Nothobranchius furzeri: one gene and its partner. The protein of the gene in region 2 interacts with the protein of the main gene of each other region in a biochemical or structural test. Links are inferred from orthologs where the notes say so. Each region holds a gene or a part of one and is shown on either strand. Other genes may lie near its edges.

Evidence for each region. The genes of interacting proteins can lie anywhere in the genome.
Region 1: of the proteins of nlk2 (region 2) and lef1, one has a biochemical effect on the other in vitro, tested with the Homo sapiens proteins (4 studies listed by BioGRID). The link is inferred for Nothobranchius furzeri from reciprocal best matches to the Homo sapiens genes NLK and LEF1.

Annotation. Positions count from the first base shown.
Region 1 is NC_091746.1:81,763,024-81,766,775, forward strand, and holds the start of lef1 (lymphoid enhancer-binding factor 1), read right to left. Parts: upstream 2,290-3,752; 5' UTR 2,120-2,289; coding exon 1,922-2,119; intron 573-1,921; coding exon 506-572; intron 1-505. UniProt on the Homo sapiens protein: Transcription factor that binds DNA in a sequence-specific manner. Participates in the Wnt signaling pathway. Activates transcription of target genes in the presence of CTNNB1 and EP300.
Region 2 is NC_091753.1:61,331,506-61,335,257, forward strand, and holds the start of nlk2 (serine/threonine-protein kinase NLK), read right to left. Parts: upstream 2,257-3,752; 5' UTR 2,027-2,256; coding exon 1,578-2,026; intron 1-1,577. UniProt on the Homo sapiens protein: Serine/threonine-protein kinase that regulates a number of transcription factors with key roles in cell fate determination. Positive effector of the non-canonical Wnt signaling pathway, acting downstream of WNT5A, MAP3K7/TAK1 and HIPK2.

The DNA of each region.
Region 1 (3,752 bases), on a different chromosome or scaffold from region 2:
GCTCTAATGATGACCTGCAGCAGCGGGGTCAGGCTTACAATAGCCAGGGAGCAACGAGTCCCAAGGGGGCAGCAACATGTTGATGTGACAGCACGGCCGGAGAGCTGATGGACAGGAGGGCGGGTTTCACTGGGCCATTAGAAATAACCAGACTTCACATGGGATTTTACGGTCTGTAGGCATTTGAAAACACAAAACAAATCAGATAGGGGCGGATTTTCCTGATTTTATTTGGAGTATCTTCTTTTTTTCCCCTCCCTCTGTGCAGGCACCCTCATCTCTGCAGTAGGTAAGAGGGAGCTGTGTTTATGAAGGAAGCATGTCCTGACTAGACTTGGATCAGAAAAATCAGAACACGAGAAAAAAAAATTACAGCATAATCACTTCTGTTCGTTCCCCCTTAGCCTCGTTTCTAATCCTGCTGGGGACCATTCGAAGAATCTGGAGGGTTTTGAGCTAAACGGCATGCTGATGAAACTCCGTAGCTCAGGGCTGTGTCACTTACCATCTTCTGGATGGTCTCTGTGTTTGTCGTGGTAGGAATCTTGTGATATTTGGGACTGTCTAGCTGCCTGCAAAGGAGAAAACGTTGGTGAATCAACCATTAAGGCCTCGAAATGCAGTTACACACTCAGACATGTCCAAAACACACACACACACACACACACACACACACACACACACACACACACTCACAATTAGCTGCAGAGGGGAGACAGCCGCCTTCATCAAAGCTCCAGAAGAATTACTTAATTAAGCTTCATGTCCTTAAGGAGCTCACAAATTAACTTGTTTTCATCAATACCTTTAGGTAACTCATCTTCATCCGAGTTCAAGCATCTTTTTATTCATATAAATGCAGTATATTAATGTTATGAATTAAAAACACATGATGGAGAATAAAAGTGAAAACCATAAAGACAGAACATGTTGGACTTCCTTCATCTTCTCAGATCTAAAACAACTAAATCGGATTTAGTTATTTTCAGATTTTTATTTTGGACCTCCTCAGGATGACTTCAAGCTGAGCAAAGGAACGTCACCGGAATCCTAATCAACACTTCCTCTCACATTTCTGGGGATTTGGTGATCGCTGGCAGAACTTTCAGAGTAAAAGCCTGAGTTCCTGCTTAGGTCAAAGCATCCAAACGAATCAAAACACACATTCAATTCAATGTTCCCCCAATGTTAAAATCATTAAACATCAATGAAGATTAAATACCGAGGTAAATCAGTAATTTAAAAAAATAAATTTAAATTATTATTATTTGTTTTTTACTTAGATCAAGAAAATAAATAAAATCAAACATGGAATTGTAATTTAAAGACACCATCTGAATGATGGGAAAAAACAGCAGGCAGAATCAGCAGGAATATAAAAACAAAATCATCGTTCAGGTTAAATCAATAACAATTTAAACCAGGTGTGCTGTCTGGATTGATGTTCTGGGGCAGCTGAGGGTGGACCATGACCACACAGCAGCCTGCCTGTCACAGGCTGCTCACCAGGCCCGATCACACCTAAACATATCTTCAGATGTCTCATTTCACATCAATATGTGTGCAGATTTTACAGCTGGATATTTTTACTTTAGGCCTCGGCTTACATCGGCCTGTAGGCTGCAGAGCCATGCCTCTTTAGAGCAGCAGGTGGTGGCGAATTAGGTGGTTTTCAATGTTAGATTAAAGAAATTAAGCAGAGCCAAGCATGTTTTCTAAATTAGAAATTACTGGTTAATTAGTGGCTTTGTTCGGGTTTTTATGTGAGTAAAATCATGTCAAAACGCTACTTAGCTGATTATTCAAGTTAGATAAACGTCTTTAAACGTTTCCAAACGCAGTTTCTGCCCTCTGATGAGAGTTTTAGCATCCTCCCGCATCAATCAGCGTGCGTGCGTGCGTGCGTGCGAGCAGGACTCACGTCGTGGCTGTTGCTGTTGGGGCTGCTCTCAGACTCGTGGACCAGAGAGGACTTGATGTCTGCCAGGTCTCCCTCCTCCTCCGAGTGGCTCAGTTCGGCGAAGATCTGCTCCTTGTGCGGGTCTCCTTCGTCTTTGAACGGGATCATTTCGTCCGTGGCGCAGAGCTCCGGGTCTCCGCCGCCCGATAGCTGAGGCATGATGCCCGCTGGAGGTGTGGGCTCGTTAGGATTCACCACCGGTGCAGGCGGCGGAAGGTCAACTCCCACCGAGAAGAGAGAGCGCGCGGCTCGGAGGCTGCGGACACGCTGCTGGTGTGTGTGTGTGCGCGCGCGCGCTTAGGCTGAAGCAACAGGAGGAGAGAGGAGTCTTCACTGTTCAACTACACGGAAAGATGAACAGGACCACAACGAGTCACGTGGGTGAAATAATCAAAAACAAACTCATTTAAAAAACGTTCCGTGAAAAGAGCCTCGAATAAAAAGTTTGAACAAATTATTTCCTTTGAGGTCCGGCGAAGCGGCTGCTCAGGTCCTGCGGAGTTAAAAACACTAGTGAGTCGCCTTAAAGAAACCAAAAAAGCGTCTGGAGGTGAAAGTGGAGGAGAGGAAACGGACTTTTAACACTTCAGCGACAAGCGAGGCGACACACCGCGGCGGCGCTTCGAGTACATCCTCACCCAGCTGCTCAAATGAGGAGAGATGAAAGCAAAAAGAAGGGAAACAATCAAAAAGCAGAAGCCTGAGAAGGGAAAACCGCCGTGGACTGACTTCCCTCTGCACCCGCAGCGTTTCCACAGTGTAATGTAACCAGTGCGTGTGTGTTGGTAATGTAGCTGCTCCCTCCTCCTCCTCCTCCTCCTCTTCTCCCTCCTCAGTCACTGGGAGGAAGGAGAGATGAAAGGGAAGCCGAGGCTCTGATTGACACTCCTCCTGAGAGAGCTCCCGACAAATGGCCAGACAGGAGAGGAGAGGAGGCTGACGCGCTGCGTGCGTGATGGCTTAAACAATTAGGAGGAATAAAAATGGAAATAGAGGGAAAACAGACGCGTCTGGGCTTGTTTGGCAAACTGTTGTAAATGTTAGATTGGACAAAAGTTGGATTTTTAGGGGGAGACTCCCCACTTGGAGCGCTTTGATGAATGATCTAGAGCCTAATTTGTCAATAAAAGCATAAATCCAGCAGAATTAATAACCCCAGCAAGACTTTTTGTATAATTTTGCTTTTTATTATCATTGCTTCAATCTTGAAGCTGATTGCCCCTTTTAACCCAAATAGTTCATTAATACATGTTGCTCCCGCAATAAAAAGGCTAAAAACAAACACAATGCTATAATAAATGATCTACCAAAAATAGTTTTCTGTTCTTTTTTTAGAATGTCGTTTAAAAATCCCAAATGTATTTCTTAATGCGGGAAAACTTGTTTTAAAGATGATTATGTATAGTCGCTAAATATGTTTCTAAAAAAGTTAGAGATTAAAAAACACGCAGATTAAAATAAGTAAGTAGAAAGCGGTGAAAGTTGCGTGTTTTCTGTGTCTGAGATTGCGTGAGAATCGGGAGTCGGGATGTGGAGGCAGATCTTTATAAAGCGCGTAGGTGGGGTTAGCGGGGCGGAGCCGCGGCTGCCTTTGATCTAGCGGCGGCTGGCTCTTTCATCCCCCCCTTCCTCCCGCTTCCTCCCCCCTTTCTCTCCCCCCCTTTGCCTTTGTATGACTAAATTTGGTCCGAGCGTGGAGTCGAGCCAACATTTCCACGTGTGCGTTCATCCCAGCTGAGAGGGGGGAGAAACTGAGAGGGGTGAGAGAAGGGGGTTCTCTTCCGGGTAAGAA
Region 2 (3,752 bases):
TCCCAGCCAGGGTGCGTAGGGTGTCCCGACTCAAGTGAGGAAGTTGATAACACCCTTTTCGCATTCTTGATCCGCACTTCACTCAAGTCTACATCGATGTGGACTTGGGCGAAGGGTATTACGCACAATCTTGCTGTAGGAGAAAAGGCTCAAGTGCCTTTCCTGAAAATGTATATTTTCAAATGAAAGTTGTTCTTTTTAGGATGGTTAATTGGTGCTCTGAAAGTTTTAGACAAAGCAGTAATGAATTTTAAGTTATGTCAAATAAGTGTTTGTTTAAAAAAAACTTTTAACAACTTCTAAAGTGGCAGAGCAACCAGCTTCCCGGCACGCACTGCGGTCAATGACGCAACGCTCTTTGTTCCAATTTGGCATTTGTACTACGCACTCGAAGCCTTACTGCGCACTTCCTCCAAGCGCACTTCACATAAGACCTTATTAGGGTGCAGTGCAAGTATTGGGATTGGGCCTTAGGAACATTTCCATGTACAAGTAAAACATTTGTTCCACACAATGAGCAAATTATAGGTCCTACGCATGAAATACACACAGGTCTGTGCATAAATACTGTGCAATCGGAAGGTCGCAGGTTCGAGACCCGCTCGGTCTGCCGCTGTCGTTGTGTCCTTGGGCAAGACACTTAACCCACATTGCCTGCTGGTGGTGGTCGGAGGGACCGGTGGCGCCAGTGCTCGGCAGCCTCGCCTCTGTCAGTGCGCCCCAGGGCAGCTGTGGCTACATTGTAGCTCATCCCCACCAGTGTGTGAATGTGTGTGTGAATGGGTGAATGACTGGTTGTGTTGTAAAGCGCCTTGGGGGGTTCCAGGACTCTAGAAGGCGCTATATCAAATACAGGCCATTTACCATTTACCATTTACCATAAAAGAGGCCCCAGGACTTATCGTACCCAGAGTACAACTTACAAGGCATTTATTACTAGAGACCACTGCAAATGTAGTGATTAAACGAGTGAACCACACCTTTAAAGATTAATTTAAATACGGAGGCCAAAACAGCACATGAAGGCACAATGCCGTCCATCAGCCAGTCTGCATAAGCCAACCTGAGCAATCACATCCAAGTCAAAGCCACAACACGTGAAAGCATGAAGAGGAACTGCTTTAAAGAGAAATCCGATTTTCTGAAGCAGGCTTCTATTTTTCCAGCTTCACCTTATCCTATTTTATTGTTTCACTTTATGATTAAAGTGAGTTATGGCTATAAATGAAAGCTCAGCCATGGTGAGTTCAAGGACCAAGAAAGATTTTCTAACTCCCTGCTTGGCAAATGTGCATTCAAGTATAAAAAATGAGAACATGATTTTTAAGTTCTGGATTGGCGGATCGATCCCAGCTGATTCCTTCATGCATCTCTGTCATAAGGGTTTAAAACAACTTTTGCATTACCAACTATTTTTAGAATCCTTGTCAGATAGTAGAACTGACCCAACTCAGCTGTCCTGCCAGAACTAATTTCTCCAAGCTGAGCCAATTGAGAAGCTCAGAACTATTCCTTTAAATGGTTCCCGTGGTTTGGATCCGTTCTCCTCATGTAGATAAAAGGTCACCAGAACTCACCAGACCACCCCAAACGCGCCGTAGCCAATGGGCCTGTCGGGCTCCACATCCAGCTGCTGCACATGGTGAGCGTTCTGCTGCTGATGGTGGTGGTGAGCTTTGACAGCTCCAGCTGCTGCAGCCTGAACCTGTGCGGGAGCCGTGGCCAACGCGGGTCCCGGAGCTTGTCCAGGGGCAGGGGAGGGGAAGTAAGGCTGCTGCTGGCCGGGATTCAGCATCACTGCTGCGGCGGCAGCTGTGGACGTGTGCTGCTGCACCGTGTGAACGGCGGCAGCGGAGCCCGGGTGCTGCAGTTGGTGCTGGCCCGCATGGTGGTGGTGGTGGTGCATGTGGGGAGGTGGAAGGTGCTGGAGCTGGTGGTGGTGATGGGCAGCCACCGCTGAGGAGCCACCGTTGTAAGCAGCCATCATTTTGGGAACATTGGTAGCAGTTGTTCCGCACAGAGCCATTCACCAACGCCTGTTTGACCGGATGATGATGATGATGATGATGATGATGATGGCTACAGCACTAATTAAACTAAACAAAATCATAAAGAGGAGATCTGGTGCTTAAATTATCCAACCACGTTGATCCTTCATGGGGACAAAAACATCTGAAAGAGTCTCTCTATCATAATGCCAGCGAGGATCCGACCCGATGGTGTTAAACAACTTCCGTTCTTCTGGTGCACCATCAAGTAGTGAGATCCTCACATGTCGCTGACATGCACAACGACCAGAGTCTAGAATCTGAGCGCCATGATTAAAACAGTCAACAGAACCGAGCCCAGAACCCCCTCAGCAGATAAATTCGGTGGCCCTCGACGTCCCTCATGGCAGAGGCGGCTTCCCCGTCTTGGTAGCGAAGTGCGATCTAGATCCTGTCACATGGGAAGCACGGCACTCATCTCTGAGAGGAGCCAAGTTTTCCTTAAATCCTTCCCGCATAGGGGGCTTCGGTCGGCTTGGAAACCGCATCTACCGTCCCAGACGGACTCCTCTTCCGATGTGTGCCCGGGCAAAGCAGCAATTAGGTAAACAGCGGTGATTTCCAGGCCGTGATTAACGCTGCAGATCCGGTGCAGAGGGGGTGTATCACGGCAGAGGCAGGCCCAGGCCAGCGCCATTCACTTCAGTCTCTCAGAGCTGCGCGCCCTGACAGAACCCCCATCACGATCCTCCTGCTGGGTCACGGAACTGCCACCATTAGCCAGGATTAAACAGCAGGGACTCTCACGCGCAGCTAACAGGCAGTAAACTTGACTCCCGGCGACAGCCTGGTGTTCAGGGTGCTCCGCGGTGTCCTCCGGTGGCTCTCATGCCTACACATCCAGAGAAGACCCAATAACACCGCTAGGGAGAGTCCGGGCTCTTTTCCTGCGGGACTAATTACCTTGAAACCACTGATGGCTATTCAACCTGACAGCTCGGAGCTAGCTAACGGACAGCCGCGTCCCCACGTCCCGGGTTCGGTCCGTCTCACAGCCACCAGCCGAGGGCGAAGAAAGCAGCAGCTCGGACCTCCACGCTTCGTCCAAATGACACGAAACTAATCACAGAGCTGAGGAGCCGAGCAGCTCATCAAACATGGTGCACACAGTCGTAGCTACTCGGCGGTGAGATTATTCAGAGAAGCCAACCAATCACCTGTCGTACCGCTATGACGTAGTCGTCATGTCGTGATTGGCAGTGCGCTCAGCCAATGGGTGATCGCGCAAAGTGAAGCTGAGCGGACCTGGTCATGACAACACAGATGCGCTATTTATAAACATCGGCCGTGTTCGAGAAGAGCCAGTTCTGCGCAGATTAGATCACCGGTGATTGGCGCGCAGTGCATGCCGGTTAGATTTGTCCGACTTGACGCCGACTTGCTCTGACGTCATGCATACGTACGCAACGATAACCTCGTGAGATCAAGGCGCTGCAGTTGCTCTCCACCGGCTGCTAAACCTAGGGCATGATGGGAAACGCCTGGCTCTCACCTGATCTAAGATCTGATTGGTTCACATTTTGATCCAAACATCCGGTGGTAGAACATGAAATGTTAGTTGGTCACATGTATTCTGTAAATCATGTTACGTTGATGATGACAATTATGTAGGCCATGAAGAGAAATGTGTTTTGTGTTCTGTTGTCACGTTTCCTATGAGCACACTGAAGCTACAGCTGCTAACCTTTACTTATTATTACAGTC